Linked DNA regions of Coturnix japonica. The protein of the gene in region 1 binds, or shares a complex with, the protein of each later gene. Links are inferred from orthologs where the notes say so. Each region holds a gene or a part of one and is shown in the gene's direction. Other genes may lie near its edges. The genes, in order: SMARCA2, DPF3, SMARCD3, SMARCC2, ARID1A, ARID1B and PHF10.

What was found.
Region 2: SMARCA2 (region 1) and DPF3 share a complex: the UniProt entries of both Homo sapiens proteins name them as parts of the BAF complex. The link is inferred for Coturnix japonica from reciprocal best matches to the Homo sapiens genes SMARCA2 and DPF3.
Region 3: SMARCA2 (region 1) and SMARCD3 share a complex: the UniProt entries of both Homo sapiens proteins name them as parts of the BAF complex. The link is inferred for Coturnix japonica from reciprocal best matches to the Homo sapiens genes SMARCA2 and SMARCD3.
Region 4: SMARCA2 (region 1) and SMARCC2 share a complex: the UniProt entries of both Homo sapiens proteins name them as parts of the BAF complex. The link is inferred for Coturnix japonica from reciprocal best matches to the Homo sapiens genes SMARCA2 and SMARCC2.
Region 5: SMARCA2 (region 1) and ARID1A share a complex: the UniProt entries of both Homo sapiens proteins name them as parts of the neuron-specific chromatin remodeling complex. The link is inferred for Coturnix japonica from reciprocal best matches to the Homo sapiens genes SMARCA2 and ARID1A.
Region 6: SMARCA2 (region 1) and ARID1B share a complex: the UniProt entries of both Homo sapiens proteins name them as parts of the neuron-specific chromatin remodeling complex. The link is inferred for Coturnix japonica from reciprocal best matches to the Homo sapiens genes SMARCA2 and ARID1B.
Region 7: SMARCA2 (region 1) and PHF10 share a complex: the UniProt entries of both Homo sapiens proteins name them as parts of the neural progenitors-specific chromatin remodeling complex. The link is inferred for Coturnix japonica from reciprocal best matches to the Homo sapiens genes SMARCA2 and PHF10.

What each region holds. Positions count from the first base shown.
Region 1 is NC_029547.1:23,971,565-23,975,428, forward strand, and holds part of SMARCA2 (probable global transcription activator SNF2L2), read left to right. Parts: intron 1-723; coding exon 724-1,053; intron 1,054-1,753; coding exon 1,754-1,855; intron 1,856-2,779; coding exon 2,780-3,029; intron 3,030-3,864. UniProt on the Homo sapiens protein: ATPase involved in transcriptional activation and repression of select genes by chromatin remodeling (alteration of DNA-nucleosome topology).
Region 2 is NC_029520.1:23,819,295-23,823,158, forward strand, and holds part of DPF3 (zinc finger protein DPF3), read left to right. Parts: intron 1-1,308; coding exon 1,309-1,469; intron 1,470-3,864. UniProt on the Homo sapiens protein: Belongs to the neuron-specific chromatin remodeling complex (nBAF complex).
Region 3 is NC_029517.1:105,807-110,140, reverse strand, and holds the start of SMARCD3 (SWI/SNF-related matrix-associated actin-dependent regulator of chromatin subfamily D member 3), read left to right. Parts: upstream 1-1,445; 5' UTR 1,446-1,574; coding exon 1,575-1,652; intron 1,653-4,334. UniProt on the Homo sapiens protein: Involved in transcriptional activation and repression of select genes by chromatin remodeling (alteration of DNA-nucleosome topology).
Region 4 is NC_029544.1:895,838-900,472, reverse strand, and holds the start of SMARCC2 (SWI/SNF complex subunit SMARCC2), read left to right. Parts: upstream 1-1,818; 5' UTR 1,819-1,862; coding exon 1,863-1,973; intron 1,974-2,056; coding exon 2,057-2,176; intron 2,177-4,292; exon of another isoform or gene 4,293-4,298; coding exon 4,299-4,384; intron 4,385-4,635. Other genes in the region: RNF41 (E3 ubiquitin-protein ligase NRDP1), read left to right, coding at 53-404. UniProt on the Homo sapiens protein: Involved in transcriptional activation and repression of select genes by chromatin remodeling (alteration of DNA-nucleosome topology).
Region 5 is NC_029538.1:63,520-67,383, reverse strand, and holds part of ARID1A (AT-rich interactive domain-containing protein 1A), read left to right. Parts: intron 1-3,057; coding exon 3,058-3,298; intron 3,299-3,653; coding exon 3,654-3,743; intron 3,744-3,864. UniProt on the Homo sapiens protein: Involved in transcriptional activation and repression of select genes by chromatin remodeling (alteration of DNA-nucleosome topology).
Region 6 is NC_029518.1:46,525,828-46,529,664, forward strand, and holds part of ARID1B (AT-rich interactive domain-containing protein 1B), read left to right. Parts: coding exon 1-505; intron 506-1,390; coding exon 1,391-1,521; intron 1,522-3,485; coding exon 3,486-3,837. UniProt on the Homo sapiens protein: Involved in transcriptional activation and repression of select genes by chromatin remodeling (alteration of DNA-nucleosome topology).
Region 7 is NC_029518.1:36,956,272-36,960,697, forward strand, and holds the start of PHF10 (PHD finger protein 10), read left to right. Parts: upstream 1-1,295; 5' UTR 1,296-1,360; coding exon 1,361-1,429; intron 1,430-3,329; coding exon 3,330-3,436; intron 3,437-3,610; coding exon 3,611-3,741; intron 3,742-4,224; coding exon 4,225-4,308; intron 4,309-4,426. UniProt on the Homo sapiens protein: Involved in transcription activity regulation by chromatin remodeling. Belongs to the neural progenitors-specific chromatin remodeling complex (npBAF complex) and is required for the proliferation of neural progenitors.

The sequences.
Region 1 (3,864 bases):
ATACTAAAAGGTAATCTAGTCTAACTCGCTTGAAACAAACAAGAATTACCACAGGAAGACTCTAGGGCTCAGAGCCCTCAACTGGCCATCCACCACCTCATTGGGCAGCCTGTTCCAGAGCCTTGCCACACTCACTGTAAAATACTTTTCCTTTATATCCAGCCTAAATCTAGTCTCTTTGAGTTTGAAATCATTTCCCCTTGTTCTGTCACTACAGACCCTGCTGAAGAGTCTGTCCTTCTTTCCTGTAACCCCTCTTTATTTACTGAAAAGTTGCTTTCAGGTCAGGTCGGAGCTTTCTGCTCCCAGGTTTCTCAGCCTGTCCTCACAGGAGAAGTGTTTCATCCCTTGGATCATTTTTTGTGGCCCTTCTCTGGATGCACTCCAACAGATTTATGTCTCTGTCTCTCCTGAGTCTAGTCTTGAATTAGTCTGCCATTCTGCTATCTCTTTGTTGTATTTAATGCTAAAATATGTCATTCAAAAAAAAAAAAAAAAAGTAAGATTGTTCTTTTTAGGAATATTTAAACCACAGAACCATAACTGCTCAGACAACAGCTCATTTAGCTAATTTCAGGTGGCACTTTGTTCTTGCTGAAAGTATTACAACCCTCCTGACTTCAAAGGGCTGTTTTTATACTCTGTGTACTGCCAAAGAAACGTGATGGAATTTGGATTTGACTAGTCAGGGTGCTAAATTTGTGATCATCTCATCTGTTTTAGGTTATATGTCTCCACACCCATCTCCACTAGGAGCACCAGAGCATGTGTCCAGCCCGATGTCTGGAGGAGGTCCAACTCCACCCCAGATGACTCCTAGCCAGCCAGGACCTATTATACCTGGGGATCCACAAGTTATGAGTCAACCCAACAGAGGTCCTTCCCCTTTCAGCCCTGTACAGCTGCACCAACTTCGGGCTCAGATTCTAGCATACAAAATGTTAGCTAGAGGTCAGCCTTTGCCAGAAAACCTCCAGCTTGCTGTTCAGGGAAAGCGGACCCTTCCAGGCATTCAACAGCAGCAGCCTCCCAGTGCCTTCAACAGACAGTCTGGTAAGTGCATCTAGGCCTTGTGTCATTGCACAAGTAATGCTCAAAGTTCTACTTGTGAGATGTTACAGGAGCATAGTGTTCACATTATAATTTGGGACAACATTCTGAACTTTTTAATACTGAGAAAGTGCATTGAACCTACCTATTACTAATAGAATATTGTACACAGAAATAGAAGTGTCCTCCTGAATTATACCTGACATTTTTTGAGTTTTAATCATAGTTTATCAATCACAGGTTTACTCTTTTTAGAGTAATTTCCAGTTTCCTGTTATGTGGAAAAAACAGAAAATTTGGAGCAGATTAAAGGAAAACAAACTATGTATAGTATGCTGCTGAGTATGTATAATGAAAAGAAAAATTTCTTTATTAGTCTTTCTCTTCCAATGATAAAAAATGTTACAGTGCAGTAAGCAGAGCACACTTTAGTCTTGAGAAAACTTTGTTAACATTGAACACCATGTACCATTTGTATTTTATTAACATTTCCATTTTTGATTATTAGAAATTGAGTGTTAAGTCTATCTTGTTTTCTTGCTAGTTATGATTTTAATAGTTCATTTCAGTGTATATCACTTAGCTAAAAAGTAGAGGCTTTTGGGTTTTTACCCAGCATCCTATAAAACAGAACAGTTGTTGAATGTTTCTTTCTTAATACAATTCTTTCTTAATACAGTTCTTTCCTCTGCCAAATTGTTAGGTATTGGGATGCATGCAATGAGTGGTGCTGCAACTGGACCAGGGCCTGCTGCAGGAATACCTGGACATACAGCTGCCATTACCCCTAAAACTTGGAATGAAGGTATAGGGAAATATAAATCTCGTATTATTTCATACATGGAGTTATGGTAAGACAGTGTAGGTAGAGAGTGAGAAAAAAATAGGGGGAAAAGAAAAGAAAAAGTTAAAAGTAATACAGACAAAACAGTGTAACCTTTACTGTGCCTAGGACTTAAATATCAAGGAGAATTTAACCATTTGTTCATCACTTGGCCAGATGAAGTTATTGCAGTTAGGCAAAGTAAACTTGAAGCACCTTTTTATAATCAAAGTGAAATACATAAGCTGCCTGAGGGACACCCATAAAATAGGTACTTAAGTTATATTCTCAGCATGCTTAATTGCAGGAAGTTTGTCTTTCAACTGTATTCTTTGTTTCTGTAAAGTCAAGTTTTCAAACCATGTTAGAATTAGGCTTTTTTTTTTTTTTTTTTTTTTAATTGCTTTGAAAGTACATTGTGGTCCTTGAGATTTAAAGAACACTGTAACATTTTTTTCACCAGTTGGTGTGATAATAATTTTTGGAATAAAAATATTTAGATTTGGATTTACAGGCTCATTTTATGATTTGAAAGAAGAAGGTGGGCAGTATTGAAATTCATTAGAAATTATTAAGAATATATTTTGAATTTGTTTTTCAAGAAAAATTTAAAGGTAAATATAGTATTACAGGCTTGTGAATAAAGTGTTTCTCATTCAGCAGAAATCTTATACATTGTTGTTGCTTGTAGGTAAATCTGAGGACAGACAGAGAACTGTGATAGTTGATGGATAGTACTTTTTTTTTTTTTTTTAAATACAGAATGAAGTGTGTGTATGTAAGTGTGTGTTTATCTGGTAATTTTGAATGTTTTTCTGAACTCACATTCTTCTGCAGAAACTGTCTTGAATTTCTTCCTGTGTTCTATATTTCATGTTATGAATAAGTATTTTTTTTATGATTCAGGCCAAACCCCAGATATGAGTGTATCCAGTGCACAGCAGAAACTTCCTGCACCATCTCCGAGTGGGAGGCCTTCTCCTGCCCCTACTGCTGCCCAGCCTGCTGCTGCTATGCCTGGGCCTTCTGTACCACAGCCACCACCTGGACAGCCTTCCCCCATTGTTCAGCTGCAGCAAAAGCAGAATCGCATCAGCCCTATTCAAAAGCCACAAGGATTAGACCCTGTTGAAATTCTTCAAGAACGCGAATATAGGTAAAAGTGAATAATATGATTCAAGTACATTTGCAGGTTGTTATTTTTCACTTTCTGAACAAGGTGTCCTTGCAACGTAATGTAGTAGTAAAAACCAAGTAAACCGAGTTTCCAGAGAAGAATCATGTTAAAGAGAAGTAGAAACATTATACTCAAAAAGGTAATCTAATTGCACCCCATATAAGGAACTAGGAAAGGGTACTGTCATTACAGACCTTCTAGGTTTAATAGGCTCAGGGACTCTGCTTGGTTGCTGTAGTATTGGATGCTTCAAAAGACAAAAGTTAGGAAATCTAAATCCCTGTAATCTAGAGAGAAACAGATTTACTGTGGGAAGTTTTCAAAATTACATACAAGTTATAAAGGGAATAATGGAAGTCAAAAGGCTGATAAAAGTTAGTGGCTAGAGCAAAAACAAGTTTTATTAGTGTGATTGTGAGGTTGTCTGAACTCCAAAGAGTACGGAGGTCATGAGGAAGATTAAAGAAGAGGTTACCAGAAAACATGGTCTTAAAAGTTGCTTCCTGAGTGCCTCAATTCAACGATGATTTATATTCATATATAAAGTATAGAGGATAACATTTCTTTCAGAATTAGATAAGGAGTTCTCATGCTTTTTCACTGTCATCAAGACCATTGAGATAGCAATAGTTAGCCTTGAGAATCTGCAGGGCAAGAAGGGTCTTGACCTGCACCTGAAGTGTTTCTAATCATTATCCATTAGTGAGAAGAGACCACACATTGTGTATTTTCTTGGTTTGAACTGATAAAAGCATCTTCCAATTACTGTAATGATGAGTTTGTAACAGAAAGGTAGCCAGAAGGAGTGATGATC
Region 2 (3,864 bases), on another chromosome or scaffold:
CACCGTTACAGCCCATGGGGAAAGAGTACTGCTCCCATGAAAGTCATGAGGTGAAAATGACAAGTGACATAAAAAAAGGAGTATCAGGCTGTCAGATACAGAAAAATAGTGATTTGCACCAATCTGGCATCTTAAAATGGCAGTTGTGCCTATACAAGAGGGTAGTAGATAAACAACTAACAGAACAGCAAAGGGAGCCTCTTTTACCTTTGTGCGTGCATCCCTCCAGCTCCCTTGCTGTGTGTTATACTCTTTTTGCACACTAATGAATGTTGGAGTCAGAGCAAGTTAAGCTGTATCTCATTCTGCTCCTATTTTCTAATGAACTTACCCCTGATGGGTAGCTTTCCTAGCTATTCATGTCACGACTGAATTTCACCTTGACAGTAGATCAAGAATGAGGTTTCAGCAGTGTGGCCCACCTACTTTGCAGTGCTCCAGCATGACAGCTGCTTTGTGTCCTTAGGGTAGCTCTACTTTGATGCTTTTCCCTGTTTAGAACAATTTGGAGGGAGGATTTTGGTAATCTCCAGCAGGCAGTTTTCAAACCTTTCTCAGGGGAATATGAAGATTCGTCAGAATTTTTGAACCAATATTTATGAAACAAGTGACATTGTCTTTAGCATGGTTCTTCCCACTGAGCTCCAGAACAAAGGATTTGCCATGCTGCATCCTACCAACTGCTATTGTAGCTTGCTGCTGTTGGTGCCTTAAACCCGACTGTGGAAAACTCTGGAATGGTAGAGAGAAAACTAGTGTAAGCATTGCAAACATGGCTCAAGCTATTAACATGTGTGTTTTCACGACTCTGAAACACACAATATGAGGACTGTGTCTTTTGCTCTTCCAGGTTCTTTGGACTAAGAAATGCTGGATTGAAGTTGTAAACCTGTCTGGCTTTTTGGTTGCACACAATACTGCAGGAGTTGCTATAGCACAAAATTGACATGTGTGGTGTGCTGACTTGGCTGGGCAAACTACTGGGGAAGAGAGACAATAGAATGAGGTCACTGCTGTGTACATGGTGCCTGGCCCTGGGTCGGGAGCCAGTGTGGTTATACCATGTGCTCATTCAGTAACAATGCCTTCTGAAAAGATCTGTGTCTGGTTTCTAAAGAGTATCATCCTTTGACAGTTTCTGCATGATCTGCTTTGGTAGTGTGTGGTGTCAGTCAGCTTTTCACGTGTTCAGGGGAAGTTTTTCTGGTTGCCTATTTGAATAAGACAACCATATATGCCCGCCTTTTCCTAGTCTTGTTTAAGGAGAAGAGCAACCTTTTCTAATCTCCGCTCTGTCTCTTTTGGCAGGCTTGGGGACCAGTTCTACAAAGAAGCAATTGAGCACTGTCGCAGCTACAACTCTCGGCTGTGTGCTGAGCGGAGCGTTCGCCTTCCCTTCCTGGACTCGCAGACTGGGGTTGCTCAGAACAACTGCTACATCTGGATGGAGAAGCGGCACAGGGGACCAGGTTGGTAGCATTGTGTCTGCATGTGCGTGCACATGTCTGGAGGTCTGGCCACTGAGCCCTCATGGGATTTAATTAATAGGAACTCAAACCTGCTACAGGCCATGCAGAAGAGAAACTGCCTAAACCTCTGTGCCTGCAGGGGATTTCCTTTGGTAACTGCAGAGAGCTGATCCTAATTATTCTCTCTCTACCCGAAGAAGTGCCTGACATGGTAGTTTCTAAGGCTGTATCACTGTAGCTCTTCTAATGCTATTGATCCCAGTCTGTAGAAGGCACAATACCCTGCTCTGTAAGCAGGATTGAAATTATGTTCAGGGTGGAGAAGCAGAGGTGAAAGTCTTAGGTGAATGGTGAATATAAGGGGTTGTATCGGGCAGTATTTACAGTGGAGGTGAAATACAGGAGAGTCAAACTTCTGGAATGAATGTTGTTCTGATGATTATAAATGTAAGTATAACTTCTAGTTCTGTTCTGGACAAGTTTGGATATCAGCTCTGGAGCCTCAGTTTCCTTAGCTGCAGAAAAAAATTGGTATGCATCCTCAAATACCTTTGGCTAAGTTCTTGTCCAGAGGGGGAAAGACCACTGTTATTTTAATAGGCTTTGATCAGTCCTTCCTTCATTAGAGTGTAAATCCATCTGAAATGCTTGTTTTGAAAGCAGAGGACAATCACCAGTTCAGAGGCTTGATGTTACTTAAACAGAACTCCTGAAACCCAGTGAGAATTTTGCTAGAGTGTGGCTCAGTATCTGATCCACAGTTAGCACAGGCATGGATTTTCTGACAATACAGGAGTGGATTTGTGTTTCCCCCGCTTCTCCCCTCCCAATGTGCGTACTGGAGAATCCAGGCAGGAAAGAGTCAATTGTGCTCAGACACTGACCATGTGCACATATCCCTGTCAATTCCTGTAAACCATACTGAAAAAAAGAAAAGAAAAAAATCCAGACCTGTAACTGTGTGTAGGTGCAGGCTGCTGTTACCTCCTCCACTGGCTACCTTGCAGCAGCTGTAGCAGGAGGAACACAAATGTTATTTGCCTCCCCTCCTGTGAGCAGACTAGGAAATCAATTGATGCCTCTGAAGGGTGCTTATCTGAAACGCTTCCTAGGATAGGAGGGGGCATATCTTTACATTGCTTCTATTCCTAAAAAACTCAAAGTAGGTGTGGTGTGGTCTTGCAGTACCGCCAGAAAACTGTAGTAAAATGCAGCCACTTCTGTTGCAGGAGACAGCAGGTGTTTCACCAACATTAAATATATCCTAAGAATATTTCAACTGCCGAAACTACTCCAGTAATCTGAGATGCTAAATGTGGTTTGTGACCACGTTTTTTATTTTCTTTCTAATGTAAAACCTCCTAATTCCTAAGAGATTGTTAGCTTTTGCAAAGCTAGCTTTCCTTTTTTTTCTTTTTCTTCTTTTTGGCTAATCAGTTTGGCTGTGCAATTTCTGTTCTTGTAACATCAAGTTATGAGCAAGATGCTGTTTTTTAATCCTTGTAAACTCAGTAATAAACATGTATACATCCACTATATACACAAATGATGTCTTGGCAAGAGCACTTGCTACAAACTAAGCAAACGTAGTCTTGTATGGGTCTCATTGGTGTCTCTGCATTTATGGAGGAAATCATCCTAAAAGAGTTACAGCATCACACCAGGAGCCAAGAGCTCTGTCACTGGCTCTATGGATGACCTTTGGCAAATGCACTGAGCAAATCTTTTTGTTCACTTCTGTTACTGAACTTTCCTGTGGTTTCCCCTGCAAAAGAGTCAGTGGCTCCAGTGGGAACTAATGGCAGAACATTCCTCATAGAGAGTCTTAAGCGAATCAGGCTTTCTGCACTTGTTTCAGCCACCAAATCTGATGTCTTTGTTATTTTAAATTAGAATAATAAGTGCAAAATGAAGCAGCCCTCCTCCCCCATATTTGCTCTGCTCTTTCTTGATTTTTATTAGTCCCTTTAGTGCTCCCTTGGGTCTCTTTGCATCATCTATTTCTTGTAGTATTGTTATGGTGGGTCAAAGCATCCTTGTTTAGTTTTAGTGTCCTTGTTTTCAGGCTATACACATTGTACTTATGCTCATACTGAACATCTTCAAAAATTTGTTACCAGCACACAAGATGGATACTAAGGTGGCTATGTTCATTGCCATTTACTATCTGTAACCTGAAAAACTGTATAAAGACAAATGGCAAAGATCCAGGAACCATTTTCTTTTACAGAGAGTTTGAAAAACAGAGGAGAGTTGGGATCTCAGTGTATTAACCTGGTTTCTCACTGTCCTCTTTGTTAAGGGAGTCAGAAAACTGCACTTCATGATAAACAGTTCAGGGTTAATTTCACACAATACTGCACATAACTCCCTCCCTCTTCTCTCCTCCTCCCCC
Region 3 (4,334 bases), on another chromosome or scaffold:
GGGAGGGCGCTGAGAGCAGCCCCCACACGCCCAAACGCTGTCATTGCTGCGCTATCCTACACGGCGCTGCCTGGGCCGGGGTCACCTTGAACATCAGCAGAGGCTGCTCCTCAGTCCCCGCGCACACGATGCCGTGTGTTCGCCATGGGCTGCTCCTCGCTGCTGCCCGATTCAGTGTCTTTTTGGTGCTTGTTTTTAACCACTGGGTGAGAGCAGCGATTTTATTCAATTCAGGTTCCCTTCTGATTCCCTTCTACTTGCAGCCTTGCCAAAAAATTCAGAGTCTATAGACATCAATCTCAAGGAGAGGAACAGAACAAACCCCTCTGGCAACACCTCTATCAATGTATCAGGCGGACGGGAGGCAGCCGCCCCCTCCAGCCGCACACACCGCGGTGAGCAGAGCCCCACGGCCACGCCGCTGTGCCGTCATGGAGGCGGCCCCGCCGCTGTGCACCGCAGAGCCGTTATTGCCGCTGTGCACCGCAGAGCCGTTATTACTGCTCTCCATCACGGAGGGGCCGCCGAGAAGCGCTGCAGAGGCCCCTTCCCCCCCGATGGGCCGCGGGGTCTCGTGGTGCCGCGCGGGGCTGTGCACGAGGAGCCGCGAGCTGCGGCAGCACAACGGCGAGCTGCGGGGATCGCGGCGTCTGCAGCCGTCAGTCACACGGGGCGTAGCGGGGCCGGAGAGCCCCGGACAGATCGCCCCGGGCGGGGCCGCCGCCATACTGCCATGCTGCCATACTGCCATACATCCATACTGCCATACTGCCATACTGCCATACATCCATACTGCCATACATCCATACTGCCATACTGCCATACTGCCATACTGCCGTGCTGCCATACATCCATACTGCCATACTGCCATACTGCCGTGCTGCCGTGCTGCTATGCCGCTATGCCGCCCCCGCTGCTCGCACGCCCCCCATCCCTTCTCCCCCGCTCCGTCCCTGCCCGCTCCCGTCTCTCCGCCTCCCGCCGCCTCTTCTCGCCGCAGGGGCCGTTCTCATCCTGGCGCTGGAATCGCCGCCAGCGAATGTTTGCCCGCTGCCGGCGGTCCCCGGGGACGGGGCCTGGAGCGCGGCGCGGGCGGAGCGCTGCGAACGGGGGGAGCCATTGTTTCTCCCCGCTCTCCCGCCGCATATTGTAATGGGAAAACTCCCCGGGAGCCGAGGCCGCCCCCTCCCCCTTGCCCCAGAATTTACCATCCCCTGCGCCGAGGAGGAGCGGCTGCGGCTCCGCCGCGAAAGGCCGGGACGTGTTTTCAATCTGCCTGGCTCTTATCTCGGGTGTTTGGACAGAGAGGTTTAAAAAGCGGGATTTTCTGTCCCCGCAGAGTAAACACGCAGAGCCCGGCAGCGCAAACTATTTCTGGCTTATCAGTGGAGGAATGCAGCAGCTGAGGCCGAGCGCGAGTGGGCCGTCAGGAAGGCCCTGAAGGGGCCCCCTCCCCACTCCGCGCTATTAGAAGTGTGAGAGCCCAGCAGGACTCAGAGGGGAGAGTTGGAGAAAAAGGCAGAAAAGGGAAAGAAAGAGGAAGAGAGAGAGTGAGAGAGGCTGAGCAGACCCCGATGGCTACAGACGAAGTTACAGGAGGGGCTCGCAAAGCTACGAAAAGCAAACTTTTTGAGTTTCTGGTCCATGGGGTGGTGAGTCGGGAAAGTTAGCGAGCTGCTGGCTCCGGATCGAGGGATGAGTGCAGAGCGGAGGCTGCGCCGGGCTGGAGCGGCCCCTGCTGCGCGCCCGTGGGGCGCCGCTCCCCGCCTCGCCCGGGAGCCGCGGGGCCGCCGGTGCACACGATGTGACCGATTCGTTGCTATACGGCTTTGTCTGGGGGGTTGCGTGCTGTGATTGCTGCTTTGATTCTCCGTGCTTGGTGAATAGCGTGCTCCCGAGCCTCGTCACGGTGCGGGATCTGCACCGCGTCTGACCCAAACGGGCTCGTAGGACACTTTGTTCTGTAAGCAAACTTGTGTTTTGAAAAGCAATTCTGATGCTGGTCCGACGCGGCCGTGTGGCGCTGCCTCTGGTTCTCGTCTCCAGCCTTGGCTCTGATGTATCCGCTGGCTACTTAACAGGTGACTTTCAGGGGCTTGGAGAGATTAGCGCTGCGGATCTCTGCCAGGCGATGGGCGCTCACCCACGAGGGAACGTCAGGTTGCCGCGCTTAATTAAAGGAATCACTCAGGTCTTTAAAAAATCGCCAGCTTTTGTTTAAGGAATCAGGTTTTTGATCTCCATTTAAGGGGATACGCTAACCTTGTTTTGCTGCCAGGAGAAACGATGTTCTTTAAATGACTGATGGTTGAAAGCGACCACCATTTATAGCATTCGGATGTCTCGTGCTGATACACTTTTAAGGAAATAAGACCCAGGAAACGCAGATATAGCTCAGATGGAGACAGTCCCTGCGTGTTTTCTCTCCTGAGCGTTCTGGCACCTTCTGTGACACCTTTTTGAAGACATCCGCTGCGTGTTCCTGTACAAAGGAATCTCGGGAGCTCGCTGCAGGCCTCTGGGTTGTCCCCATAATTCAGGCTTGCTCCAAATGTATTGGATCTTTCTTGTGTACTGCAGAGCCTGGCTATGATGAGCTTGCAGGGTGAAGGACTTTTAGATGGCATTCTGCTCCCTGAGAGCAGTGAGCAGGCAGAGCGGTGCCGATGTACATCAGCAGTCTGTGGCTGGATGGGCAGATATGACAGAAGCAGGTGTGCGGATCTGTGGCAGTAGCTGTGCTGTGAACACGTGTGTTGGTTAAGATGGTCTGGCTCAGGGTGGCTGTAGCTGGGTGGCCGCAGGCATCCCGGGAGGGCTGTGCACGAGGGTAGCTGTTTCTTTTTCCAAGGCTTCTGTTGGCACAACACTGCTCTTCCTTTGGTATTTCCAAGAGTTGCTAAGACAGTTGGATGACCCTGCTTCTTTCCCATGTAGATGTGAAAGGAGCCTGCTGGCCTCTTAAGCATGAGAAATGTTAATTCATACCAGAATTAATGCAGCAGAACTTGTTTCCATTAGTTATTTGGGTGCTAGAAAAGTCTGACTTGTCTGCACTGCCTGTTTCTCCATGAGAGGCGTCTCACTTGGTATCCACATTGCCTGAGTACCTGCATCTGGTTGTTACCTTTCCACTGCCTGTCAGGGGAAACAGAGCTTCTTGTCCATCACTCTTTGCCTGAGCTCCTCTTGTAGGACCCTCTGCGCCCCTCCATGATTATTTCCTTTGGTTCTGCTTTTGCTTCCGTGTTTGTTCTTCACTTCTAGTTTCTTCCTGACCTCAGGCTCATTTTGGTCAAAACAGGTTGAGGCAGCCAGTCTTCCATTGCTTACAAAAGACCCAAAGTTGCAACTTCATTTACCTGTTTACATATCCTATCGAATAAAAGAACGAGCCGTTACCCCGAGTGCAGATATTGCAGCCTCATCACCGCACGCGGCCTGTCTGCATCTGAATCAATTCCTTGAAGATTCAAGTTGAAGAGTAAAGTTTTCCAGCATGCCTTGGAATCAGGTTATGCCTCCACTCCAGGGAAAATCTCCTCTTCAGATTACTGGGTTTTTTTGTTCTCTCTTTGGCAAAATGATCTCTCTTGATTACTGCAGGTATTGTTATCGTTATTGTTTCATTTTCAGAAATGGGAGTGTATAAGCAGGGATAGAATGCCATGAGAAAAAAATGTACTGTTTGAAGAATTAAATAGAAAGGAGAATTTTGCACTATTTACTGAGAGCTGTTAGATTTTGGGTTTATTTGATCTTTCTGAAAACATGTGTTTCTCTGCTAAGGTCACTTCGCCCTTTGCTCTTGTGTGTTTCATCTTGCCTTTGTTCTTTCCCATGCTGCCAGCTCAGAAGAGATCTTCTTCCCTTTGTGTGGTTCAGATAGGATCCCTCTGTGCTGTCAGATCTCAGTGGTGAGAAGCCTCAGGTGTGATACTTCGCCCTGCTGGAGTAGTTTGTTACACCTCTGCTGAGCAGTTCTTTTCAAAAGACCGCCTTTCTTTCAGTTATTCCTTAGATTTCTCTAACTCCTGGTCTGTTGATCAGGGCCTCACACGCTGTATCTGTGGGAAGAGGGATTTTTTGCACAGGCTTCATCATCCTTCACTGTCACTTTCGCCCCTCTGCTCTATTTCCAGAACTGTTATGGATAAATTCAGCTTTAATGACCACCTTTATGCCTATATGTTTTTTCCTGATGTGTTTTCTACTGTCCAGCAGTACACTTCAGGCTGCCCTTGTGACATCTCACTCTGAGTATCTACTTGTTGACCCAAACCAAATTGTTAATTCCTGTAGGGTGATCCTCAGTTTCTCCCATGTCAGTTTCT
Region 4 (4,635 bases), on another chromosome or scaffold:
TTCCTTTAAGTGTTGGGTGGGCACTGACTCACCCCCCCATGTCTGTCCCCAGGTGGGTGAACTCCCTGCAACCCGCCCGTGTGACACGATGGGGTGGGATGATCTCCACGCCGGATGCTGTGCTGCAGGCCGTGATTAAACGCTCCCTGGTGGAAAGTGGCTGCCCCACATCCATCATCAACGAGCTGATTGAAAACGCCCACGAGAGGAACTGGCCTCAAGGCCTGGCCACGTTGGAAACCCGTCAGATGAACCGACGTTACTACGAGAATTACGTGGCCAAACGGATCCCAGGCAAACAGGCCGTGGTGGTGATGGCCTGTGAGAACCAGCACATGGGTGAGGACATGGTGCTGGAGCCGGGGCTGGTGATGATATTTGCACACGGAGTGGAGGAAATATAAATGGACGTTGGAAGAAGCGATGCTTTGTGCTGAGGAGGGGGCTGGGACCGAGGCCTGGGGTGGATGCTGCCAATGGCCGGGCTCTGCTCACAGCTGGATGAAACGATTCCATGTCCCCCCCCCTTCCCCCCAAGTCCCCCTTATAACCGCTGCATCCACCCCAGCCCACCCCCCATTTGCCCCCTGCAGCTCCATATCCCCACTTGGTGTCTTCAGAGGGGGCAGAGGAGGCACAGCTGCACCCCGGGTACTGCTGGGCTGCTGCCCCATGGACTTCCAGCCCCATGGACTTCCAGCCCCATGGGCTTCCAGCCCCACGGATGCTCACGCTGTGCCTGCAGCCCCCCCGGCTGCCTCCCTTGTGCTCTCTGCCCTATGCTGCCTGTGTCTGTCCCAGGGGGCCAGGCCTGGCCTCCCTCTCCCCATTTAACCCTAAAGGCAGAGCTGGGCATTTATGGGCGAGGGGGAGCCAATGAGGGGGGGGGGTGGGGGGAGCAGGGAGGGGGTCTGGCACCACCCTGGGGGGCAATAGGAGCCCCCTCTGCCCCACTGCTGTTCCTCTGCAGCCACTCGTGCTCGTGGTTCTGTATTATTTTGTACTACTCAGCCTTCCCCCACCCCTCCATTCTTACCCCCCCCCTCCATTCTCCTCCCCCCCCCTTTGATTTTGGAGTGCCACCGATGGCTTCATACCCCCCCTTACCCCCCCCCATTCACCCTATGGGACTTTAATTTATTCTCATTCGTTACGTTGGTTTTTTTTACGGTCCTCCCCCCCCCTTCCCCCTATTTTCCGCTGTCTGTACGATGCGGTTCCGGGTCTCCCCCCCCCTTGTTGGTGGGGGGGGGGGGGGGGGGGGCGTTCAGCGATCAATAAAAACGGCTGTTCTGGTTTCTGTAGCGAAGCTGTGGCTGCTCTAGGAGGGGTCGGGGGGGGGGTCACACTAAAAGGGGCCGAGCCTTTCTGAACTGCTCCGTGTTATACAGAGTCCCACATTAAAAAGGGACCCCCCCCCCATTAAAAGATAAAGCTCCGTCACGGACAGGATTCGAACCTGCGCAGGGAAACCCTATTGGATTTCGAGTCCAACGCCTTCACCTCTCGGCCACCGTGACTTCAGCGCCTCCCTCATCCGCGCTCCGCCTAGACCCGGCACACCGCCCCCATCCATCGGGTCCTCCGTGCCGCCAGGGGGCGCTGTGTTCACTCATCTCCATTCGGCCTGCAGGGGGCGCTGTGCACACTCACCCCTGTTCTGCCCGCAGGGGGCGCCGTCCTGCAGTACCCTTCATTACCGGCAGGGGGCGCCGTCCCGCAGTTCCCTTCATTACCGGCAGGGGGCGCCGTCCCGCAGTACCCTTCATTACCGGCAGGGGGCGCCGTCCTGCAGTACCCCTCGTTACCGGCAGGGGGCGCTGCGTCACGTCACGGCGGGGAGCGGCCCGGCCCGCTGGAAGATGGCGGTGCGGAAGAAGGACGGCGGCCCCAACGTCAAATATTACGAGGCCTCGGACACCGTCAGTCAATTCGACAACGTCCGCCTTTGGTTGGGCAAGAACTACAAGAAGGTACGGATCGTTCGGGATCCCTCATAGGCCTCACGGCTCCGCTTTACACGGAGCCAGGCCCGAGGCTGAGCCCCCTCCCGCAGTACATCCAGGCCGAGCCCCCCACCAACAAATCGCTGTCGAGTCTCGTGGTTCAACTGCTGCAGTTCCAGGAGGAAGTGTTCGGGAAGCACGTCAGCAACGCGCCGCTCACCAAACTGCCGGTGCGTGACTGGGCCGGGCGGACAAAGGGACCCGCAAACCCCGCAACCCCCCCCAGGGACACCCCAGGACCTGCACGACCCGGCCCCGTAATGCCCTGGGTTGGGGGGGACACATGGGACCCCCCCCCCTCCCTTTGGAGGGGTCTTTGTAAGACCCCCCCGGCCCCAAATGGCCCAGCTGGGGTGGAGGGGACACATGGGGACCCTCCCCCTTCCCAACCCCCCCACCCCCTTTGGAGGGGTCTTTGCAAGACCCGAGGCACCCCCGGACCCGCAAGGCCCGGCCCCGTAATGCCCTGGGTTGGGGGGGACACATGGGACCCTCCCCTTTCCCAACCCCCCCACCCCCTTTGGAGGGGTCTTCCCCACCCCCATCCCTTTGGGGAGGTCTTTGCGAGACCCCCCCGGTTCCAAATGGCCCAGCTGGGGGGGGGGGGGGACACATGGGGACCCCCCCCCTTCCCAACCCCCCCACCCCCTTTGGAGGGGTCTTTGCGAGACCCCCCCGGCCCCAAATGTGGGATGACACGTGGGGACCCTCCTCTTCCCCCCCCCCCTCCTTTAGGAGGGTCTTTGTGAGACCCCCCCGGACCCGCAGGGCCCGGCCCCGTAATGCCCTGGGTTGGGGGGGACACGTGGGACCCCCCCCCCCCTTTGGAGGGGTCTTTGTGAGACCCCCCCGGCCCTGCAATGCCTTGGTGTTGGGGGGGACACATAGGGACCCTCCTCTTCCCCACCCCCGTTCCTTTGGGGTTGTCTTTGCGAGACCCCCCTGGCCCCAAATGGCCCAGCTGGGTGGGGAGGACATAGGGACCCTCCCCCTTCCCACCCCCATCCCTTTGAGGGGGTCTCTGTGAGACCCCCCAGGCCCCAAATGTGGGATGACACATAGGGACCCTCCTCTTCCCCCCCCCCCCTCCTATAGGGGGGTCTTTGTGAGACCCCCCCGGTCCCATAATACCTTGGTGTTGGGGGAGATACATGGGACCCTCCCCTTCCCCCCCCCCCCCCCTATAGGGGGGTCTTTGTGAGACCCCCCCGGTCCCATAATACCTTGGTGTTGGGGGAGATACATGGGACCCTCCCCTTCCCCACCCCCCACCCCCTTTGGAGGGGTCTTCCCCACCCCCATCCCTTTGGGGAGGTCTTTACGAGACCCCCCCGGCCCCGCAATGCCTTGGTGTTGGGGGGGACACATGGGGACACCCCCCACCCCCCACCCCGTTTGGAGGGGTCTTTGCAAGACCCGAGACACCCCCGGACCCGCAATGCCCTGGGTTGGGGGGGACACATGGGAACCCACCCCCCCACCCCCCTTTGGGGAGGTCTTTGCGAGACCCCCCCGGCCCCAAATGGCCCAGCTGGGGGGGGGGCACATGGGGACCCTCCCCTTTCCCAACCCCCCAACCCCCTTTGGAGGGGTCTTTGAAAGACCTGAGACACCCCCGGACCCGCACGGCCCGGCCCCGTAATGCCCTGGGTTGGGGGGGACACATGGGACCCTCCCCCTTCCCAACCCCCCACCCCCTTTGGAAGGGTCTTTGCGAGACCCCCCCGGCCCTTGGTGTGGGGGAACACATGGGGACCCACCCCCCCACCCCCCTTTGGGGAGGTCTTTGCGAGACCCCTCCAGCCCCAAATGGCCCAGCTGGGGGGGACACACATAGGGACCCTCTTCTTCCCCCCCCCCCCTCCTTTAGGGGGGTCTTTGTGAGACCCCCCCGGTCCTGCAATGCCTTGGTGGGGGGGGGACACATGGGACCCTCCCCCTTCCCACCCCCCACCCCCTTTGGAGGGGTCTTTGCGAGAGCCCCCCAGGCCCCACACGGCCCAGCTGGGAGGGATGGACACATGGGGACCCTCCTCTTCCCCACTCCCATCCCTTTGGGGGGCTCTTTGGGGCTGGGGTTGGGCGGGGGGGTTGTTGGGGTGGTCGCCCCCATGGCATGGAGCAGGGACAGCAATGGGGACAATAGGGAGAAGGGATGAGTCCCAGTGCTGCCCGCTGTGGGGCATTGCCTGCTATGTATGGGGTATTGCCTGCTGTGGGGCACTGCCCGCTGTGGGGTATTGCCCGCTGTGGGGCAGCCCCCCCCCCGAGTCCTCCCATCCCCTTTTCCAGATCAAATGCTTCCTGGATTTCAAGGCGGGGGGAGCCCTGTGCCACATCTTGGCGGCTGCTTATAAGTTCAAGAGCGACCAAGGATGGTGAGCGGCATCATAGGGAGGATGGGATGGAATTAAGGGTGGTGGTGGGGTTGGGAGGGGGGAGGCAGAGATTTGTCTGCTCTATGGGGCACAATGGGGGCGGTTACAGCCCTGGGTTGGGCAGTGTGTTGGCTGCCCATCTGTGGGTCACAGCCCCATACACAGATCCCTGTTGGGGTGTCCCCCCACCCCCCTTTAATGGGTAAAATGGGGCTGAGTGATGAGGAGACCTGAGCTGTGGCTTTCATGAG
Region 5 (3,864 bases), on another chromosome or scaffold:
AGAAGCGAGCAGTGCCTCTGGTGCTAGGTTAGGAAGGTAGTGAAAAGTGCAAAATCTAGTAGGCACTATTCTTAGGCTTTTTCTGCTTTTTTTTCTTTTTTCTTCTAACTTTCATTGAAAAGAAACAAAGTAGGTGGTGTTTGTTTGCTTTCAGAGAGGTAATACATCATAAATAAACAAATGTACCTCTGAGACTGCCATGCAGGAAGTTATCTACCAGACTGATGTAGTGGTGGAAGGAGAACAAGGACATACTACAAACAGAGTTCTCCCATCAAGTAACTGGCATTTCCAGCTCAAATGTAGCATTTTCCAGCATTTCCTAGAAACACTGTTAACCAGTTCTACTGTAAAACAGACAAGATTGCCCTACTACAGCAGACAACTGAAAGTGGTGCAGTTGATCCCCATCGCTCCCCTTTGTCGTTTTGAGTGTTGCTCTCTGTTCAACAAGTGTGATGAGGTTGTTGGATATTTCTTAGGTTATTTTATCTTCTGTAACCCCAGTTTTCTGCTTTCTAAGGTGTGGTCAAAGCACTTGCTTCTGGAGGCTGATACGCTTGCAGTATCTTGCGTATGAGGTCCTTGCGTGTCACAGGGAGTTAGGAGAGTTCCTGGAACTGCTGCTAAACGAGGCATTGTCCAGGCAGTGTAAACGGGACCAGGGTATCTCAGTGACTTTTCAGGATTCCCAGTCTTTCTGCATGTTTTTTTTCAGTGAGGTTGGCTCTGTGCTAATCAGCTGAATTGTGTTGAGAGGAACCTTATCTAAAATGGCTTTCTGCGCTCAATCCAGAGCACTTCTGAGCTAGGGTTGATTGCTCTGGAAGACTTGCAAAGGGTAGACAAGGGCCTAGTAAGCTTTGGTCTGCCATTTCTTAACCTACTGTGATGTTCTGAATCTCTAATTGCTGGAGTAGCAACTTTTCAGTGTTCAAATGTGCCATAACAGACTGTATTACTCTGCTGTGGACTATTCCTTGCCCTCTTACTCCAGGTTGACCCTGAGTAGCCAATGCAGCTTAGCATCAAGCAGCCAATGCAGTTGTGTTTGGAGTATTCCCAAGTATATCTCCATTTTTGAGACTTACCAAGTGATTTTTGGCACTGTTGCTTTGCAGTGAGTGTTGTTGAAATAGAAGATTTCAACTTTTTTAGGTTTTTCATAGAATTACGGAATTATAGAATGGCCTGTGTTGGAAAGGACCACAGTGATCATCTAGTTTCAACCCCCCTGCTATGTGCAGGGTCGCCAACCAGCAGCCCAGGCTGTCCACAGCCACATCCAGCCTGGCCTTGAATGCCTGCAGGGATGGGGCATCCACAGCCTCCTTGGGCAACCTGTTCCAGTGTGTCACCAACTTCTGGGTGAAAAACTTCTTCCTAATATACAACCTAAATCTCCCCTGTCTCAGTTTAAGACCATTCCCCCTTGTCCTGTCACTATCTTCCCTTGCAAACAGCTGTTCCCCCTCCTGTTTATACTTTCTCTTCAAGTACTGGAAGGCCATAAGGAGGTCTCCCCACAGCCTTCTCTTCTCCAAGTTAAACAAACCCAGTTCCCTAAATCTTTCCCTCATAGGAGATGTGCTTCAGCCCTCTGACCATCTTAGTGGCTCCTCCTCTGAACCTGTTCCAAGAGCTCCATGTCCTTTTACTGGGGGGCTTGGGCCTGGACGCAGTACTGCAGATGGGGCCTCACAAGAGTCAAGTAGAGGGGACAGTGACCTCCCTCTCCCTGCTGGCCACTCCTCTTTTAATGGAGCCTGGAACACAGTTGTCCTTCTGGGCTGCAAGCGCACACTGCTTGCTCATGTCCAGCTTTTTGTCCGCTAGGACCCTCAAGTCCTTTGCAGTGCTCCTCTCAAGGAGGTCTTCCCCTGGCTTGTATAAATACCTGGGATTGCCCCAGCCCAGGTGCAGTATCCTGCACTTGGCCTTGTTGAACCTCATTAGGTTTTCATGGCTCCACTTCTCCAGCCTGTCCAGGTCTCTCTGGATGGCTTCCCTTCCCTCCAGTGTATTGACTGCACCACTCAGCTTGGTGTTGTCTGCTGACTTGATGAGACTGCACTCGGTGCCATTGCGTTGAAAGGCACTGGTCCCAAAACCAACCCCTGATGGACACCACTTGTGACTGACCTCCACCCTGACACAGAGCCATTGATCACAACTTTTTGACTGCAACCAGCCAACCAATTCTTAGTCTGCCAAACAGTCCATCCTTCAAATCCATACCTCTCCAATTCTGAGAGAAGGATGTGGTGAGGGACCATGCTGAAGGCTTTGCAGAGTACCTGAAGGGTGATGGCTGTCATCTTCCCCTGTCCCCCAATGCCATCACTCCGTCATAGAACACCAGCAGATTGGTCAGGCAAGATCTGCCCTTGGTGAAGCCATGCTGGTTTTTGGTACTTTCCTTTTACATGCTTAATATATGCAACATGAAGGGTATTCTCTGGAAAAAAGAAAGAGAAAAGAAAAAAGTCCTAAACTTTGAATGTCAATACTGTACATGCTAGATTTTGCTATCTTTGAAGAAAGGGAAGTGGAAACCCTGAGGAATGTTCTACGGTTTTCTTTGAAAAAATCTATTTATTTATTTATTTTTATTCATCTCAAGTGAGTAGTTTCCCAGCTCACATGAGGTTCATGAATGAGGCAGGAGTTTTCTGTTGTTGAGAGGATGAGCCATGTTTCTGTTCCAAATCATAGTCACACTGAGTACCTTCTCCATATGCAGCTTTATGTGTATTGTTGATATAGTTTCTTGCCTCTAAATTGAATTAAAAGAAGTAGGTGTTAGGACCATCAGCAGACATTCATCAAAGTACCAAGGGAACTGCTCGATTCAGGGGCAGGTAGCAGGATACAACACATTCAGCAGTTACCTCAGTCTTCAACAACCTTTATTACTGACAATGACATGAGCCAAGTTGATTGATTTCAATTTGTAGTATGCCTAAGGGTGAAATTCACTTTCTGGGTGGTATATGAGAGAGTAGTCCCATGTCTCTTTATTTGCTGATGGCTGATCTGTTTCTTTATGTATTGCAGGACCTGTCTGGTTCAATAGATGATCTACCCATGGGTACAGAAGGAGCCCTGAGTCCTGGAGTAAGCACATCAGGGATTTCCAGCAGTCAAGGAGAGCAGAGTAACCCAGCTCAGTCTCCTTTCTCTCCACATACCTCTCCTCATCTGCCAGGCATCAGAGGACCTTCCCCATCCCCTGTTGGTTCTCCAGCTAGTGTTGCTCAGTCCCGCTCTGGTCCACTTTCACCTGCTGCAGTACCAGGTAACACAGCTTGGCACCTAGTGATCCTTTGGTTAAAATTGTTGGTGGGGAGAAACTGGCCAGTGTCAGTATTTTGTGGCTATTGAGAGCTTGCAATCTCTTCCATCTTCTTTTTTTTTTTTTCCTTTGAAATGCCTGTAACATGTACAGAATACAGTCCAGTGGGTGGGGTAGCTGACAAACCAGCAGTGTCATTTTCCTGGGTTAGTGTGGTTGATCTTGCTCTTTTTTTTCCTTCACTGTGGCTAAAATGCCCTTGTGCAACTGTTTGTAGTTCTGGTTTTTAACACTGTTGCATCTTTGATTTTGTGGTGAGCAATTCTTGTGATTAACCATTCTCCTTTTTGTGGTGCAGGCAATCAGATGCCGCCGCGACCACCCAGTGGCCAGTCAGACAGTATCATGCATCCTTCCATGAGCCAGTCAAGCATAGCTCAAGATCGAGGTATGTGATTTGGCTTAGAGAAGTTCTAATGGTACAAATCTGTTTGTAGAGCTAGATGCGTAGCTAAAAATTACCTGTCCTGATAATATGAATTCTGTGGTGAGACAGCATCTAAAGGCTG
Region 6 (3,837 bases), on another chromosome or scaffold:
TGGCCAACACGAAACGATATGCCTTACCCTTACCAGAATAGGCAAGGTCCAGGAGGCCCTGCACAGGCCCCACCGTATCCAGGGATGAATCGCACTGATGATATGATGGTACCTGACCAGAGGATAAACCACGAGAGTCAGTGGCCTTCTCATGTCAACCAACGTCAGCCTTCTTATATGTCATCTTCAGCCTCCATGCAGCCTATCACTAGGCCTCCTCAGTCATCCTACCAGACACCACCCTCTATGCCAAATCACATCTCTAGAGCTCCAAGTCCAGCATCCTTCCAGCGCTCTTTGGAAAACCGTATGTCTCCAAGCAAGTCTCCTTTCCTACCCTCCATGAAGATGCAAAAGGTTATACCCACAGTTCCAGTGTCACAGGTCACAGGACCTCCACCCCAACCACCACCGATTAGGCGAGAAATTACCTTCCCCCCAGGCTCTGTAGAAGCATCGCAGCCAGTCTTAAAACCAAGGCGAAAGATTACCTCAAAAGATATTGGTAAGTACAGAAACAAAAGCGAAATGCTTTTGGGAGCAAGGTTGGGAGAAAGGATCTTTGGTTTTTGTTTTCCTTTACTTGTTAAGACTGCTTTGACAAGTAATTAACTTTGGTAGCTATTATGTGTTCACTAAAAATGCAATAGAATATGAATCAGTGAGGATGACAAATCTCATACCAGCAAGTTCAACACCATATGAAATCAGTTTTCTGTATGGAGACCTGAGTTCTCAAAAAGTGCAATATTACATTAAAAATAAAGCTTGTCTGGGCTTCCAAATGCTATTTGTTGAAAGATCCACCAGAATGTCTGTTAAATCACTGGTGCAGTGTTTAGGTGAGCAAAGATTTCCACATTCTTGTTCCATGGAAGCTCACAACAGAGCTATTGCTCTGTGCCCTTACAGTGTCTGCCTAAGTAAGGCGGAATGGCCCGTTTTTTCATGCCATATTATTTGCCACTTCTGTTTCTCTCCAAATTCTTTCCTAAGTATCTTCTTATCTTGAATTCCTGTTATATTTCACATGTTCCAGTTCCCATACCTCAGGTTCCCATATTCATGACAGAATATTCTACTTGCATTTATGTATTGTTTGTTATAGCCAGCTTCTTAAAAGTTTGTAAGATGATTTCTTCAGCAGGGTCAAGAAGAATGGCCCCATTAAAATGCTCTCCAGAATTAGCACTAAGTAAGAGAGAAAAACATAACGGAGCTAAGTGGTGAAACCAGGGTCTTAAGCAGTGTTTCAGTAATTATTCAGTAACTATTTCCTATATATTTTGCATCCTCAGAACATCACAGTTTATTCTTTCAAAACATCGCAAGTCTTCAACTCTCATAGGTTGCACTAATACTGTTTTATGCTTATCTTTTCTTTCTCCAGTAACTCCTGAGGCCTGGAGAGTGATGATGTCTCTTAAATCTGGTCTTTTGGCTGAAAGTACCTGGGCGCTAGACACTATTAATATTCTTCTATATGATGATAGCACTGTCGCTACTTTCAACCTCTCTCAGGTAGGTGGGAAAGCAGAGTACCTCTAAGCTTTCCAAGGAAAGAAAACACTAAGAAAATAGATATGAAAATGCTGAAGTCTCTTAAAATATGTTAACGTAAGTCAGAATATTGCAAAACTTCAATTTGTAATTTGATAACAGTGAGTAACAAAATGTACTTAAGGGTGGAATTGGGGAAATAATAAGCTTAAAAGGAGAGCAGCTTTTGTGGAAAGGAATACATAGGAATGTAAGAGTGTTAACACTGGCAGAAGACTAATGTGTAAATTCACATTTGTTGTTGAACAAGGATAATCCCAGAAAATAGCATTGTTAGTAATTTCACATAAAAAACATTCCAAAAAAGTCATTGCAGAATGATGTTAGATTTGAGACTGTCTTTCAGTTGCTATTTGTCTTATTCACTAGTCCTTATACTCGGCTGTGAGATATTTTGTTGGGGTTTTTTTGTTCCTTCTACCCACAAAGTAAGCTTGTACAAAACTAGTAGGTTTATCAAACAATTAAAAGGCTAAAATCCACTGTCTGCACACAGGATAGTAGCATACAGTTTAACAGTGTATGCTTTTGCCTCTCTCCCTCCCAGCATTTTTCAGCCCTGCTCTACCTATCAGCCTGTTAGATGGTTGTTATAGATGGCGTTCTGGTAATGCCATCTAATGGAGTTTCTCTGCTCCACTCACTCCCTGGCTACTAATAGTGTAACTCATCTTTTTTAAAATATAATGACCTTTTTTTTAAAAAAAAAATTAAAAAAAAATAAAAAGGCACAGATTATACGTTTCATTCCACCTAACTTTAGAACTAGGGATATCTGTAGCATAATTCATCTCATCCTAAAGTAGAGATCTAAAATAGGTCAGATGAATCATACCCTGGAAATGGCCTTGAAAAGATCACTGATTATAAAAAGAATCTAGATGATTAGGCTTGTAACTGTTGCAGGTGTTTGGAATTAAGGGAGATGAATCTCCTGAATTCTGTAGAGACTGCATTAATACACCTTGTGCAAATTGCACAGAATACCAGATCATTTTAGATTTTAGAGGTTGCTTTTGCTTTGAACTTGATTTCTAGTGTCAGTCAGGACTCCATATGACAATCGATAATTCCCACTGTTTATAAGCATCTGTTTGTTCTCATTTCTTTGGGATTTTTGGCAATGGTATGAATACAGAATGGGTGAAAGGATGCATTTTGCAAAATATCTGTTAGCCCACAATTAAAACAACCATTAAAAGGCAGACAATTGGGCTGAATGTATCATATCAGTAAAGAGATTTTAATAATAAAGCAACTGAGGGTAAATTAGTATCGAGTCCAACTACTGCCTTTCTGTGAGAAAGTGATTACCAGTTAATTAAGAGGATTAAAGCTAAATGAAAACTGTTTCTGAAGGATGACTTACACCACTGGGCTCTAATGACAATTTTGAAATACCATCACACAAAAAGAGAGTCATACCAGTAGAGATGGATTACTAATCTGGGATATCAGTACCTCGAACCTGAACTGTGTATTCTAACAGAACAGATGGTTTTAGAGACTGAGAGACAAAGGAAGAGATAAAGAATTGTCAACTTCCAGAGTCTAATAAATGTACAATTCAGAAAAGCAAAGAGGGTTAGAAACTTCAGTACTCTGAAGAAACAATAAAGTATATTAGGCACATCCCAGGATGGAACAGCTAGGCTAAAAAGTAGCTAAGGTGCTAGTGCATAAGAAGAAAAGTACTGTACTTTTCATAGCTGTTAGGTTTTAAGCAAATGGAATCGTGGTGGTCTGGTGTTACATACTGATTAGACAGACACTAGAAAAATTTCATTTGATTAGCTTCTGCCATGCAGGGACCTAGCCACAAGTCCACAGCAAAAGGCAGGAAGTTGTACAATTTAGTGTTCCGTATGAAATTTCATGCAGTCAAAAATATTTGTTTTTTATGTTGTTTTTTTTTCTCCCCTTAGTTGTCTGGATTTCTTGAGCTTTTAGTAGAATATTTTAGAAAATGCCTGATTGACATTTTTGGAATCCTCATGGAATATGAAGTGGGAGATCCAGGTCACAAAGCACTTGATCACAAATCAGCCAAGAAAGATGATAGCCAGTCCTTGGCAGAGGATACTGGAAAAGAGGAGAGTGACGAATGTATTGACTGTTTCGATGAAGAGGAGGAGGAGGGGGAGGATGAAAACGTAGAAGGAGAAGAAAAGAGCATTGTTTTTTCCACTCCTGGTGCCATTGCTGATCCAAGTGAAAGGCCAAAACAAGCCAGTAAATTTGACAAGCTGCCAATAAAGATTGTAAAGAAAAATAATC
Region 7 (4,426 bases), on another chromosome or scaffold:
GGCAGTGCTGTTTGGCTTTTTTAGGTAGAAATGTGAATTGGGAAGCCATCTTTTACATGCTTAATTGGTGTGAATTTCCACATATGCTCCTGGAAGGGGCTGAGTTTGGTCGTTGACTATTAGTCTTGTTCTAAGTACTGCAGTGCTCAGGCGGGTGAGTAAGCGCTGAATTCAGCAAGCAGCTTCTCAGGGCAAGGACAAGAAGAACGTGCCCTGGAGCATGGCTATTGATAACGGGCTGTAGAAGACAACAACGGCGAGGGCTAATAAGAGTTAAGGTAGATCCGCGAGGCACAGATCCTGCGGAATGTGGGAAAGGAGCTCTGACACCATTTCTATTGTTACGAGCTCCATGTAAACGTTTCCTAAGGCTGGCGGTGTTATCCCTGAACGTGCCCGGGGCTGTGCAGACGGGCTGTACGGAGCGGTGCCCAGGCTGAAGGCGCGGGCAGGAGCGCTCTAGGGCTTCGGTGCCGGCCGCGCGGCAGCTCCCCGCCATCCACGGCGGCCCGAGGCGGGGGACTGCGGTCCCCGCGTGGGAGTGGCTTCGCGCTTTGTTCTCCGGTGCGGTGCGGGCGGGGCCGCGTGCGGGCCGAGGCGCGGAGCGGACGGGGGCTCTCCTGCCAGGTACGGCCGGGGGAGCGGCGACGGGCGCGGCCGGAGGGGGTGCGGGTTGACGGCGGCGCGTTCGCTCCTTCCGCGCAGCGGCGGGGCCGGCTTCAAGCGCCCTCCTCGGGGGGGAGAGCGCTCGCACCGGCTTCCTGCGAGTGCTCCCCCCCGCCCCCCGTACACCCCTCCTGCGCTGGTGGATGGTTCACAAACGTAGCTCGTCCCCGGCTGACGCGCCGGAGACGGAGCAGCCCAGCCCTGCAGGGGCCAGCTCCCGCACCGGACGGCGGCGGCGGCGCTCGGCGCCCACCACGCCGTGGGGATGCTGCCCCTGCGCGCCGCGCTGCTACCCAAGCGCTGCCGAGGCGGATCGGCCCCGCGCTCGCGGTTGGGCCGCGCGGCCGCTCGAGCGGCGGCGGCTGCGGCGGCCGGAGGAGGAGGAGGAGGAGGAGGAGGGCGCGGCTGCGGCGGCGGTAGCGGCGGCGGAGCGGCGTTGCCGGGCCCGCGCGGCGTTGCGGGCGGGGCGGGCCGCGTGCCGGTCCGGCGGCGCGGGCCGGGGTCGCCGCGGGCAGCCCGGAGGGGGGCGGAGCAGGAGCTGCGCGAGGCGCCGCGCTCGTGCCCGGGCTGGCCGGTAGGGGCCGTTGCCACCCCCCGCAGGGGGAGGGGGGGCGGAGCCGGGCGCGGCGCGAGGCCGGGGCGCGCGGCGGCGGCGCTTCTCCTCGCCCAGCCGGCGGCGGCCCCCGCGGCGCTCATGGCGGCCGTGCTGTCCCCGCGCCTCTGCGAGAGCGACCCGGCCACGCCCGGAAACCAGTCCCTGAAGGTGAGCGCGGCGGGCGGCCCGAGGCTGCGGCCGGGCGGCGGGAGGCCTCGGCCGGCGCCCCCCCCCCCCGCGGGGCTCCGCTCTGAGCCCGGGCTCTCCTCGCGGTGGGGCGCCCGGGGGTGTTGGCGGCCTCCCGCGGCTGCGGCGAAGTTGTGGCGCGGGGTCGGGGCCAAGCGCCCGTGCGGCCGCCGTGGCTCCTCTGAGCGCCGCCCGTGCCGGACCGCCGCACCACGCCAAGTTTGGGGCTGGCTGCGAGCGGCCCCGCGGGCACGGCTCGTTGGGCACTTTTGGAGGAGGTTTGGGTAGTTCCGGCTGCCAGTTACAAAATAAAGCGTCGTGGCGGAGCTCTGGAAGCTGATTGGCGTACGGAGACTTCGCTCTGTAACTTTAAAGAGCCAACCAACAGGCAGCAGTGCGGCTGTGCTGGGCGTGCTTCTGCCAGGCGGGGAAGGAAGAGGAAGGCAAGGCCTGTTTCGGCTGAGCTTTTCTGACTGAACTGTCGTGTTCTCACTTGTTTGCCGAGTCCTTTGCACCGTCCTGCCTTGTTTCCTTGCGTGTTTTGTGTTCGTCTGCGGAGCAGTTTCTTCTTCACTAGGAGAGTGGTCAGGCCCTGGAACAGGCTGCCCAGGGAGGTTGTGGATGCCCCGTCCTTGGAGGTGTTCAAGACCAGGTTGGACGGGGCCCTGGGCAACCTGATCTAGTAAAGGTGTATGTTTGGTGGCCCTGCCAGGCAGGGGGGTTGGAACTACATGATCCTTGAGGTCCCTTCCAACCCGGGTCATTCTGTGATTCTGTGAGCGAAACTAAAAGCGGAGGAGGCAGAGGCAGCTGTCCCTCCTGCGGTGTGGGTGCTTATGTACTATAAACACGGTGTTCAGAAAGGGAAAACTTCGATGCAGTAAGAGAAAACCGGTGCAATACTTTGAAGTTTCTTGTCAGCTTTGCTATAGGAAACATAGCTTTAGTAGTTATGTCCATCAGCTCTAAACTCTACAGTGCATCAGGGTGCTGTGTGGGAGAAAGGAATGAGCTGTGGACTTATATTAGTTGTAGCAAAGAGCAGTCTCAGTCCAGCTTCCAACTGAGGAAGTAAGAGAGTTGCAAAGCATACCTGACAAAATAAAAGAAAAGCGGTTTCTTTTCCCATACTTATAAATACAATCCAAGTGGAAATTTGAGATCCAGGTCAAACAGCCTGGACCAAAATTCCCCAGTAATGGGACCATATGGAAACTAAATGACTTTCTGTGCCCGGCAAAAGCTGACCAACTAAATCAAATCAGCTCAGGGCTGATACTAACTTACAAAAAATATATATATCTACAATTACCTGCTTTGCTTGAAAGCTGTTAATGCAGCCATCCAAAAGGGTACTTTAATTCAGTGACAATCAGTATGAACATTTTGAACATTGCATTTTATTATTCTTTTGAACTGGCATTTATTTTAATGATATTTTCATACTAGTCCATGGTTTCTTTTATTTGAGGTAGTTTTGTTCTTGGATCTACTGCTGCTCACTATGTGCAGCTTGCTCGACTGCTTTGTTTTCTGTTTCTCACTTGTAGTCATGTAACTCTGATCACTAGATGCTTTGAGATCTGTTGCTAACAAGCAAAGAATAGGTATGAGTCATATAGTGTTATTAGTCAGTAGCTTTAGGGTTATTTTCTTAATCCCTTCATTGACAAAAAGCTTTTGCTACTCCATCTTTTCATAAGTTGTCTATCAGTTCTTACGTTTGCTGTGTAAACTATCCTGTCAGTTTTGTGTAGAGACTATTGTTGAACAGCTCAGTCCTTCAGGTATGTCTAAACTTCATATTAGAATGTTTTTGATGTTTTAAATTACCCGCTGAATGCTTTAAATTGATAAATATCTGTTTTCATCTTTGTTTCAGGATGACACTGAAGAAAATTCCAATGATGGCAGCCAGCCGTCGAAAAGACGGCGGATGGGCTCAGGGGACAGTTCTCGGAGCTGTGAGACTTCTAGTCAGGACCTCGGGTAATACAGCCTTTTATTGCTAGTCTTACTGTTTCATTTGATATGCTGAAGCATTAGCTCTTCTCCGTTCTTTCATGTTCTTTGTTTAACTGTTTGAATTGAGTGGTGCAAGTAGCTATTGGTCTTTTTCTCCCAGCATTCTTTGATTTCTTCTGATGTTGTTCTTACGCTCAGATACAGCTATTTTCCTGCTGAAAACCTGATAGAGTACAAGTGGCCGCCAGATGAAACAGGGGAGTACTATATGCTTCAGGAGCAAGTTAGTGAATATTTGGGTGTGACTTCCTTTAAAAGAAAATATCCAGGTATATATATATGTATTTAAAAGTCTTTCTTCTAAAAATCTGCCTTTTTAGGTTTTAAATGTAATCTCTGTGTCTTTTTGACCACAGAATGGTCCATTTAATTAAAATATCATAGCAAAAGTGAATCTCTATTCTGTATGTTCAACTTTGTGATTTTGTTACTGGCTTTTTGAAAATATATCCTACAGATTTCAAGTAGGAATTCTATGTAATTTAAGACTTTTCAGTCTTGCCACTGAAAAATCTATACAAAAGAATGAATTGAGTGTTAGATCAGTAAGTAGCTTTTGAAGACTGACCCCAGCTTAATTCCAAAGTATTTAGTTGGTGATTTCTTACTGTAAAGCTGGCCTTGTGTTTGTATTTCATTTCCTGTATGGTGCAGACTCATTACCTGAAAATTCTCAAAATGCTTTAACATTATTTATGGGGGATTTTGAGTAACTTTATATGCTTTTGTTGCTGTTTTTTGTTACCCCTAAGATCTGGAACGACGAGATCTGTCTCACAAGGAGAAACTCTACCTCAGAGAACTAAATGTTATCACGGAGACTCAATGCACGTTAGGTAAGAGAAGAATAAGATTCCTCGCTAAAGTATAAAAAATGACCCACTGAAAATGTGATTCAGTTTTGGTAGAGAAGTCACTTGCAAATGAAAATGTAAATTCTGACCTGAAAACTAG